Linked DNA regions of Drosophila melanogaster. The gene in region 1 interacts genetically with each later gene. Each region holds a gene or a part of one and is shown on either strand. Other genes may lie near its edges.

Evidence for each region.
Region 2: of Rrp6 (region 1) and Trf4-1, changing one suppresses a phenotype caused by changing the other (phenotypic suppression), as found in Drosophila melanogaster (one study listed by BioGRID).

The regions. Positions count from the first base shown.
Region 1 is NT_033777.3:14,881,739-14,888,255, forward strand, and holds Rrp6 (Rrp6), read right to left. Parts: upstream 4,509-6,517; 5' UTR 4,205-4,508; coding exon 4,097-4,204; intron 4,023-4,096; coding exon 3,841-4,022; intron 3,729-3,840; coding exon 2,324-3,728; intron 2,086-2,323; coding exon 1,159-2,085; intron 1,067-1,158; coding exon 986-1,066; 3' UTR 760-985; downstream 1-759. Other genes in the region: CG3631 (uncharacterized protein), read left to right, coding at 1-58, 115-322; CG33331 (uncharacterized protein), read left to right, coding at 4,844-5,872; CG33332 (uncharacterized protein), read left to right, coding at 6,112-6,517. UniProt on the Drosophila melanogaster protein: Catalytic component of the RNA exosome complex which has 3'->5' exoribonuclease activity and participates in a multitude of cellular RNA processing and degradation events.
Region 2 is NC_004354.4:8,559,013-8,564,119, reverse strand, and holds the start of Trf4-1 (topoisomerase related function 4-1), read right to left. Parts: upstream 3,226-5,107; 5' UTR 2,861-3,225; intron 2,426-2,860; exon of another isoform or gene 2,359-2,425; intron 968-2,358; 5' UTR 748-967; coding exon 1-747. Other genes in the region: CG12112 (uncharacterized protein), read left to right, coding at 4,097-4,199, 4,262-4,467, 4,541-4,694, 4,757-4,899. UniProt on the Drosophila melanogaster protein: Involved in a post-transcriptional quality control mechanism limiting inappropriate expression of genetic information. Polyadenylation is required for the degradative activity of the exosome on several of its nuclear RNA substrates.

The DNA.
Region 1 (6,517 bases):
TCGGAAACCCGAACAAGGATCACTTGGACATATTGGCGCCACTCTACCAATGCTGCCTGTAAGTCTTCGACCAATTTCCAAATACCTATAACTATTTACGTTTATACCTTACAGTCTGCGAAAGTCCACGTGGGATCGCCTGCAAGTCTTTTCCGGCGGCGTACTCACGGAAATCATCGATCGACTATCCAAGCAGGATGCTCTCTATCCCCTGATTACGGATAAGCATAAAAAAGGAGTGGAGCGACGACTTCTGGTGGTCTATGCTGTTGTGGAGCACTGCATGGACATCGAGGGCGACAAAATGTTCAAAACTCTGTAGTTTCAGCTCAAGATTGGGGCTAATGGCCAGCACTAGAGCTTTAGGAACTCACTTTCCACATCCTACTTAAGCTAAAGTTAGATAGAGAAATTATCGTATTATTTTAGTCCATGTTTTACTTCTGTATTTCTTCCAAATATTTAAATGCCCGAAACAGGTTTTTTCCTATTTTAAATTAAGTTCTTTTGTCCTTTCTTGTATTGGTTTGAATGCTAGAAAAGTTTTCGAAAAATTGAGATGCCATCCAATTAGGAATTAAATCATACAAAATTCGTTGTGACGAAATAAGTTTGAAATTTAAACCTATTACCATGACATTTCCCACGTCCCAATTATTATTTGGTTTTCCCATATTTTTTCAATGACCATCTCTTAAAACTGTTCTTAAATATTGAACTACAAACCGATCCATAACAACATATCCGATAGTCTAGTTTAATGAATAGTTACGGTTGTTATTTAATAGGTAATATTTTAGAAAATTGCAAAGCTCAGAAAAAATAGTTTTGTAACTTGAAAAGAATTTATAAACAATCAAAAATAAACACTTGTTTATTTCTTCATCAGTTTCATCAATCAGTTTTCGTGTTGCTCGCATTCTTACTATTGAATTCACATATATACCAGTTATGTATATTTTACAGACTTCGTCACGATTGCAGTTCATTTTTTGCCCTCTTTTCTTACATTACTAAATGTAAAAAGCTTGTTGAACTGCTTGTTGTTCCGATTGTTGGGACGGTTCTAAAAAAAAAAACAAGCGTTATAAATGTTTAGTGAAGAGATCGTTTCAGTAAAAGCTAAGCCAGCTTGTTAATACTTTTCATAGCACTCACCTTGCCGCGAATTTGCTGCTTGATTTCTGTGCCCCGGGCTCTTTGCGCTCCTCCCTTGAATTGCCGGAAGTCCACGTTCTTGTAGTCAAAGTTGCCTGTACCCTTGTGCTGCGGAACCTGCTGACTGGAGCTCTGCGGGTGGTTTCCTCGATTCTTGGCCTTGAATCCGCGCTGGAACTGATTTTTCTTTTGCTTGCGGTTGTTCTGTGCCGGTGATGGTTTCGGTGGCTCTGTGGCTTGCCTTTCGATAGGAACCTCAACGACCTCATCATCGCTTTCGCCTAAAGCCTGCTGAACTTTTTCGACTGGTTCGATCTTTACCGGCGGTTTGGTTTGTGAATTCTCGTCCTTGCGAGGTCGCTTGCTAGCAGTCGGCTGCTGTTCCGGATCTGTTTTCACGTTCGCTTGTGGGTGCTTGCGCTTCAGTTGTTCCTTCAGCGGGACGGAGTACATGTCATCATCCTCCTTTCCGATGGCGTGTGCCTCCAGCTTAATGTTTTGCTCCACAGTTGGGGCTGCTGGACACAATTGCCTCTTTTGCAACTCACTTCGCTCCCTGGCCAACTGATCGGCCTTCAGCTGCACCATCAGAGGTAGGATGGCGAGATAGCGTTTGTAGGGCATACGCATTGTCTGGCTCTCCTTGCGAAGATGGGCCCAGCGCTGTTCCTCTTCTTGTGTCGGCTTGGACTGCTTTTCGAACAGAGCCATGGCTGGTGCCGCTAAGGTTGGATCTACTTTGGCAACCTCCTCCTTATTGGGCACCTCCAGTTTTCCTGTAGTTGAATTACGTTTCAACAGCGTTGGCAGGTCGTCGCGAATCTCCTCCAGTTGCGAAAAATCGTGCGGACAGTAGAGCTTGCTGCTAAAGTCTTTGGTCGACGGAGGCAACGCTGCCTGTGTACTACTGTGGGCTTCCAGGATCGGCTAAAATCGTAAGTAAAGTCAAGAACATTAAACATTAGATATACCACCCCAACACTTGGTAACATTAAACCTATTTTAGTTGACCTGCGGTTGTGAAATGAATTGAACTATAAGGTGAATTCAGAACATGTTCTTCATTTCAATGTTAGTTACAGTTAATTGGTAATGAAAAATTATCGGTATAGGCGCCAACGTTGATCGAGTTGCAAGCGCTGCTTGAAACCGCCAAGAAACTCACTTTGACCAGCGGCTGATCGCGCGCCTTGAGGACAATCTGGTGAAGCGTGTGCAGCTGTTGGCGCACCAGCGGCGGAATGGGATTGCAGCAGGCGAGGATTCCCTGCATCTCCCTTGGAAGACTCTCAGCGATTTGCAGCATCATGTGATTGGGCAGCACATAGCCGTAACTCTCGTCCTCTGACCGCGCCGTCGCATCGCGCCACTCGAAGATTCCGCGAAGTGCGTACAGTTGCCGGTTGTCGAAAGAGCGCTTCGTTTTTCTTACTAAATCCAAATGGGATTCTGGTCCGATGTGAGGCTTATTATAACGCTTCTTGCAGACATCCGTGCTCTGTTGATAGACACTGCCCAGCAGACCTGGTTCGGCATGCTGCTGCAGCAGATCGTTTGTCATCCGTCCGTAAACGTATATCAAAAAGTGGGTATCCTGACGAGCGTAGTCCACCAGCTGCTGGGGAAGCGGTCTCATCCGCCAATCGGCCAGTTGCAGGCTCTTGTCCACATCCAAGTCCAGATAGTGCTTAAGCAAATATGCCAACGATAACCTTGCCATATTCAAGGCTTTGGCAGCCCGATGCGTGTCGAACATGTTGACGATATACAACGATAAGTCCCGCTGAAGCCACTCAATATCCAAATCGGCGCCGTGCAGTATCTTCAGCTTCTTGGGATCGGTGAGTACCAAATTTAGTATATGCATATCATCGCGTAGGATCAGGGTATCAAAAATATAGTCTTTGCTGCGAGTAGACATCTGGACCAGGCAAGTGATGCCCATGAAGGTGCGATACGAGTGGTGCTCCACATCTATGGCGATCTGGGGCGCTTGTCTCAGTTCCTCCAATGCCTGCTTCAGTTTTTCCACCGTGTCAACCACCATTAGTTCGGTTTCTGCCATCAGAGCTGGAAGCACTGGCTTTTGTTTTTGGAACTGCTCCTCCGGAGGCTGAAACTTAAGCAGCTCAAACTCGTAGGGATGCAAATAGGATTGGACATTGCCGGCATCATCGTATTCGGGCAGCAGGGCCAGCGGTTTAAGAGAATTAGGTTTCTCCTTGAGTCTTGGAACAAACGGATTCTGGGCACTGTTATCCACCGGCTCCCTAAATTGCGTCTGCGGCCGAACGATGTTCTTGGCGGTGAAGAGACGAGCCGAAACCATGCTGCGTTGGGGTGTTCCTGTCGTTCTGTTCCAGCTGCCTGCCTTTGGAGTCCCTTGGGTTTGTGGGGAAGCTACTGCGGGCTCTATGGATGTGGAGCTGCTCATCACGTCCACCTGGGCCTCTACGACCTGTTGTGTATTTCTTCGCAGACCACCTTTAATGTCTAGATTAGTCGTAATGCGCTCGAACAGTACGTCGTTGCACTCCTGCACCATCTCAAACTGCTCTTCCGGTTGGCGTCTGTTTAAAGAATAAAGATCTATTGTTATTTACAGATACAGGTACCAACTTTGATTTCAATGGCTGTGCTGTATTTTCAACATTTCGAATAATGTCATGGTTAGAAGCTTACTTTTTGATGTCGCCCTTGATGTCCTTGGAGTGCAGCACGTTCCCGATGAGCGCCACCACCCGTTGGGTCAGGTCTTCCATAACACGTGCGTAGCCTGGATAGCTTAGGTAAAGGGCGCGGGCTGTTCCTTGTGGGAAAGCATTAGCGGCTTTTGTGGCGGCGATTGCATTCTTGAACCCTTTCTGGAATGTCAGAGCAGAACACGTAGGGATTGGATTGAAATATACTTATGTACGCTGGCTGAATTGCTACCCACGTTTGTGAATGCCTCAACATCTTCTGAAGCGGATTTCTTTGGCGGCTGGTCTGCTTGGGCCGATTCCTCTTTGGCCTCCTGGTGAACTCTTTTCGGGGTTCGCGGCATGTCTGTATAGTGTTTCCTTGTCGAATGTCTTGTGTTATTTTCGTACAAATTTTTTGTCGTTTTACAGATTGTGGAAAATGTGCGTGTTTTCTCTTCTTCTTTTTTGAGAATAACAACAGCTTGAATTTGGAGTTTGTCAACACTACCGGCGGCGAAATTTGATCACTATATAGCACTAAAACGGTGCTGACCGCAATCGAATTAAATCGATATGAAGGTGTATTTTACAAATGTTAGCCAAATTTGGAATGGTGATATTTCGTTATGTTAAACCGTAAACAGAACCTGCTTTGATGAACAATACTTTACAAATTCTTTTTAAAAGCAAAATGTTATTATTATATTGAACTAAATATATATTCCTTTCAATATAAATTAAACTGAATAAATATTTTCTTTGTTAAATATTTGGTCTTTTCTTTTATTTTTTCAAGAGGGCGCTAAATTGTTCAAGTGAAACCCTGAACAAAATTTTCAGCCAGCTGATTGCCAGTGTGTACACCCCTCCGGCGCCGGCGAAAAGCGAGGAGCTTGACCGAGAAGCATCAACTCCATCCAGAAGAAGTGGAGTTACGTGCTAAAAAAAAAGTAATTATAAAGCCTAAGTTTAGTCCAATTAGGAGGTAAAACACGCACAAGATGCTGGACCTATACAGACGCACGGTGGCGCGGTTTCCTCTGGGCAGTGTCAGCTATATGTTCGCCTACGGATCCGGCGTCAAACAGCAGGAAGGCTATGGAAAAGTCGGCAATGGAAACAACCTGCGTCCTCCGCCGGGAACCGTTGTGGATCTGGTCTTTTGCGTTCGTGATGCTAGGGGCTTCCATGCGGAGAACCTGCACCGTCATCCGGACCACTATTCCGCCCTTAGGCACCTGGGACCGAACTTTGTGGCCAAGTATCAGGAGCGTTTGGGTGCGGGTGTCTATTGCAACACGTTGGTGCCTCTGCCAGATGTGGGCATTACCATAAAGTACGGCGTGGTGTCGCAGGAGGAGCTGCTGGAGGATCTGCTTGACTGGCGGCATCTTTACTTGGCAGGAAGGCTGCACAAACCAGTGACGAATCTGGTCAATCCTTCTGATAATCCTCCCCTCAAGGCTGCGCTGGAGAGGAATCTTGTATCCGCGCTGCAAGTGGCTCTGCTACTTTTACCAGAGAAGTTCACTGCCTACGGACTTTTCCACACCATCGCCGGACTGAGTTACAAGGGCGATTTCCGTATGATTTTCGGGGAAAACAAACAGAAAGTGCACAACATAGTTAGTCCGCAAATCAATGACTTCTTCGCCCTATACCAACCCTCCCTGGGACAACTTTCCGACTATGTGGCGGTAAACATGAAGGGCCAGGAACCAGGGAGCCGGAAACCAGCCATAATCTTCGAGCAGGACAAATCCTCATCGGCTACATGCCAACACCTGCGACAGTTGCCCCGAGAGCTTCAGAAGCGATTGCAGCGAAATGCCGCCTGTCGTGGCGACTACACCCAGGTGGTGAATCACCTATCCATGGCCTCCCAGCTTCCGGAGGTGCTGCAGGCATCCGTCAACGACATTGTGTGGCGCAGCAGTGTCACGCAATCGATCAAAAATATTCCCAGTGCTGGCATTCTCAAGTCATTGGCGTATAGCTATCGCAAGGCTCAAAAGACATTCGCTGTTTAGGTTTATTTTTCGGGTTAATCCCCTGGCTGCCAATCATTCTACCGACTAAGTTGTCCCATCCAGCTGCATTTTGTTAAATACTTTTAAGCTTTAAAGTTGTTAACTGCAATATAATGTTTAGCCCAATCCAAAGACCTGAGTTTTCTTGGGGATTCTCTCTTTTCACATCCAATGGACCTCTTTATAACCTCAGGAATATCTTGGTTTACTTATTATTTCATTAATTGTATTTGCAGATCATGTCCAGCGACGACAATAGTAGTGATAGCAATTCGTCCAGCGATGAAAGGCAAAGGAAACGGAAGCTTAAGAAGCACAGCAAAGATGTGGACAAGTCCAAAAAGAAGAAGTCGAAAAAGCACAAGAAAGAAAAGCGTCGCCACAAGGAGAAGAAACGCAGCAAGCATGAGGAGGAGCCACCTGTGCCTTACACGCAACCTCCACATTTAATTAATGCATCTCCGCCAGATGTGGCTACAAACAACGAAGATTCCTTTGGTCCCGCTTTACCGCCGCATTTAAGGAAGACCCAGCAGCCGGAACTCCCTGAGCAAAGCCAACCAGCCCCACAACCGCAGGCCATGATAGGACCCGTCCTGCCCAGCAATTTGACCCGGGAAAAGTCTCCTACTAAGGAAGCGGAAG
Region 2 (5,107 bases), on another chromosome or scaffold:
GATCATCTCCATATGGTTGTTCATATAGTAGTGGGCTCCGCCAGCCTTGTTCTCCGGTCGTTTCTTCCGCGATGGATTGTAGTAGATGCTGTTCGTGCGGCTGGCGGGCGTGGTCGTTGATTGTGGCGGGTTGTTGCTGGTGTCGCTCATACTAGTGGCTGGACCAGTCGTGGTCGCAGCTGTGCTTGACGCTGTCGTCGCCGGACTATTTGTACCGGTACCTCCTGCTCCTGTTGACGTTCCCGTTCCTGCTCCGGGTCCGTTGGTTGAACTGCTATTGGCGGGTGAGTTATTGTCCCGATTCGTGGTGGAATCTGCCGACGAGCTAGTGCTGCCGCCGCTTGTGGTATTGATGTTGGTGCTGTTGCGCTGAGTGGTCCCGTTGAGCTGCTGCTGTTGTTGTTGCTGCTGCAGGATCTCCAGGGAATCCGCTCGGAAATTGAGCACCCGATTTAGCGAGCTGTAGGGTCGCGATAAGTAGGGTTTGGCCGATGAATTGTTACCAGTGTTATTGGTCGTGTTGGTGATAGTGTTATTGATGATGTTATTGTTGTTGTTGTTGTTGTTGTTACCACTATTGCTGCTGCTGCTGCTGCTGCTCGTGCTCCCGTTGATCGTCGTCGCCTGCTGTAGCTGTTGATTAAGCAATGCGCCCATCTCTTGGGCATTCGTCTCCCAAATCTTTAACCATGTGCACAGCGATGGTCCCTCCTGTTCCTTCTGAAACCAGCCAACAAATGGATCCATTCAAGACGGGTTCACACGGCTGTTGGCTGGGCGGGAAACGAGGGGGGCGCGCGTCTCTCCTTCGCTTCGTCCTTTCACCTCTATCCTCTGCGTCCTGGTGGTCTGAATATATAGACGTGACTCTATATAGATCCGATGTGATCTTTGTGCTCCACAGGGAAAAATTAATTAAAGTCGCTGCCGGGACTAAACCTCTTTGAATGCTGTCAGCATTCAAGTGCTGTAAAGAGTGTCACGAAAAATGTTAATTAGTTACCGGAGTAGGAGTTATGCGTATCCTATTCTACTACCTCTACATACGTTTAACGGTTCAAAACAATAGAATTCTCAGTTATGATCACAATATTACACTAAAGTCATTGCCATTTTAATTTCGGTATATTCTGGTATAGTAGGTAGACTTGTCAATCTTATTTGTTAACAATTAATGTGAAACAAGGCAGAACACCTAATTTGATTAATATTATTAACTTATCACTCAATAAATATGCCAATGTTCGCAGTTTTGCGAAGAGAGAGAGATTGGCTTATATTAGGAAAGTTCTGGAAGAACAAATACCCTCCATTTGTTCACTAAGTACAACCATATACATTTCGATATAATCTACAGCAGTTGTATTTCGAGGCTTTAACCAGTTTGGGACTCATTGTTTATAATAATCCTAAGTCAACTTCAAGTAATTTGATAAATCAAATAAATACTGATATCAAAATACTGTTATTGATGTACAGGTTTTAGGTTAACTCGGGGAGATAAATAAACAAAGGAATGGGGTTGAGATTGAAGGAAAGGAAACAATAGTAACAGTAGTTGTTGGTGCTGCTCTTGTTATTTTTGCTCTTTAAAAGGGGTTTGCATGCATTTTACACAAAATGGAAAGCGTAAATGGCAAACTATTACAAATTATGCGCTCTTTTTCTACAAATAGAAATGCCCCGCTCTCTCACACATCCCCTCCCTCCCACCACTTTCAAGCGAGCGCTCTTATTCACTCCTTTTTGCAAACCAATTGCAGCTGAAGCGTTTAAAGGCGCCAGTCGAAAATTGTTTTTCAGAGCGCGAAAAATCACACATACACACACGCGCTAGAAAAAAAAAAAACAAAAATGGGCCACAACAAAAAGGTTTTTCACATACGAAAAGCAAATCAAAATGCAATAAAAACAACAAGCAATTCGAAAAAAAAAAACAGAAGGAAAAACAGCTCACGAGACTCCGAGACCCGCAAATAAATGACTTCCCAAGTGATATTATATCTCGCACCAATACACTGATAGCTACTCTAGTTTTGTGCAGCGTGCGTGTGACTCTGTTGGGTGTGTGCGTTTGTGTGTGAGTGTGCAAGGGCGTACAGGTGGCCGTAGTATGGGGGTGGGAGTGGGAGCGGGACAGCACACATGCACATGTACCGAAAGGCGGCTTCGATTATGCAAAAAAAATATAATACAATAAGAAAAAAGGGAGAAGAAAGATGGGCAGAGAAACCGCTAAATGCGCACACACCTACACCTAATGCATATTTTACCCGATACGATTTTCATTTGCTGGCTGAATTTTCGGTAAAAAAAAACTTAGTTGCATTTGACAGAGGAAAACTCCCGTACACCCACACACATTTACAGCAGGCCATCGCGCACATGTACTTGTACATTTTAGGCAAATTAACACTTTCTTAATGTTCGCCAGTGTTGGCTAACGACCCAAGGAGAGCAAGTGAGAGAGCGGGGCGAAGTGATATTGAAGAAAGGCAGAAAGAGAGAGCGATTTATTGTTTTAACCGGCAAAAAACATACAGAGGCTGAAATTAGTCGGAGTAATTAATTGCAGTGGATATCGATAGACGGGCCTCGGTGTTGCCACCTGGCTTCGAAGGGCTCTCTCTCTTTACAGCACTGTCCGGGGCAAATGTAAACATTTAATTTATGCAACCGCTGCAGTAATTAAGCGAAAATCAATTAAGCAGACTACTCCAAACGCACGCCCGCTCTCATCCTCGTATTCTATCACACGCACACACATGCGTATCGAACTGCTCTTCACATGATTTCTCGCGTAATTCAGTTGGAATTTTTCACACACAATTCGTTTCTTCTTTTTTTTTAGCCGTTTTACCTTGACAAGTTTTGGTTCTCGTTGCGATTGCGTTGTATTTCAAGTTTATCACACATACATATACTCACACCTACACACGCAGCAAAACGTGAACAAAATACACATGTTGGTTATAAAAAATAAGCCAAGTTATATTATGCCAGTTGTATTATTGTGCAGCACAAAACCCGCCCAAAAATTAATGGAAAATTACAGTTGTTGTCGGTCGGCGTCGCTGCTGCTTCTTCCGTTCTTTCTTACTGTCTCACTCTCCCTTCTCACATATCCTTATAAGCACTAACAATTTCTGCTTCTCGCTCACTTTCGTTGCGCTGCCGATGGAGCTCTCTCTTTCACTCCTTGCTGCCTCTATGCCTTTTATGCACTCCCCACACACCCGCACACAGAGTGACATTTGAAGCACATACAGACGCACACGACTGGTTCTTTCGAGAATCGAACATTACCGAATTTATCAAATTGCGCTTCGCAATTGTGCATTTCCTGTGCAGATCGCAGGCCTCAATCGCGGCACGATTGTTTTTCGCCCTTTAGCAACGTTCCCTGTCAATTTCTGTGGATTTATATTGCAATTTGCGTGCGAACACGCGACCGTTTCGCGATAGAGCTGGTTCACGAATCGATTGATGAGCGATGTTATCGATAGACCTGATAAGCGAGAGGTGGATGTGCTCGCTAGATTCGCCAAGGTTGATGACTCCGCTAAGTGAATGGTCCTATTACAAAATATCGATGACATCCAAATTGCTTGTTAAATATAGTTTCAAATTTAACTGTAACATAAAAAAAATGTATTAAATCAATTTTAAAAAAACCCAACTTAGCATTTGTTATTTGGGGAAAGTCCATGCTATTCCCACCTACTCAACTGACAGGACGCATCACCAACTAAATTCGTTAAAAACATTGTGATTATTATAAACAATTAGTATTATTTATCCTGTGGCTTATGCGATTGGTTGTCATGCGATATTCTGGCTTTCACCATGTTCTCTGTACTACTGTACAGTTCCGCCGCTAATCAGACGTCGTCATCACTGATTCACCAGTTACTCATATGTGATGAGCAAGAGGGAGTTTTTGCCCGTGCCCTTACTTTCCCATTCGTCGCCTAGCGAAGGCAATGATGAAACAGCGAGGAATTCCATTTGGAGCTTAACTGTGTAGCGAAGCGAATCGCTTCCATTAGGGACTTTCCTCAATTCATAAACTAAATATACATATGTATTCACTTTAATGCTAAAAATTAACGAAGCAATGCCTGAAATCAAGAGACTTTGCCTCGCCACCGAGAATAGTCATATCGCAGCCAATGCCATGCTGCTAACAAAGATAGATGGTATGTTTGTGACATACATATCTTATAACACCGGATCATATTACATTACCTAACCCACTTAGAACTCAATTCCCAAGTCCTGTCGCAGCGCGCAGAAATCGAAAACTTGACGAGGGCGGTTAAGACACTTACGGAATTCGTTAAGCAGTCGATGAAAACGACCAAGCCGAAGGCGAAGGGAAATCCGGACGATGATTTTCCAATTATGTATGAGGAGGATCTGGTCGAAGTGAATCACAAGATAAGCCAGGACTCCAGGGGGATCTATGTAAGTTTCTCCTTCCTCATGCTTTTCCATCAATAGAATATTATATAGTTGTACTTATATGATCCCTGATCAGACGAATTCCATGCGGAAATTCCTGCGCCAGGGAAGATTAAGCCGCACCATAAGACTCATTTTCTCCGAGGACATCCTTCTGAACTACAATATTGATGGGAATCAGAAAAAGAAAAGACTAAAAGATCACGAACATCTGTTTCGTTCGCTTATGAGTAAGTTTAGTGCTCGACATCCAACTTTTAGTGATCCATTCAATAATTATCCCCAACTACAGACGCCATCGGTCAGGTGGAACCGACGCTACCCTCGGAAAAAGTCTTATTCAAAGCCATGAGATGCGTTAAGAATTGCGCAGCCAAAAAGAAGGGCAAGGTAGATGATGACCCCTTGTCCGTTTTGAGCGTGGAGAAATCATAACTGTGCCCATGTGAGATGACATAGTAGAAACAAGGATTTAAATATAAGTAATGATTTACGGGCGAATCAATCCGAATTGAGGATGAATACCCAAATAGTGGTTGATGGATCATCATCACTTTGTTGAGAAGTTATCACTTCATGGAGAAGAGCGAGAGCAAAACAAAAGACGAAAAGAAAACATCGATTTTTCACTATACTATCGATG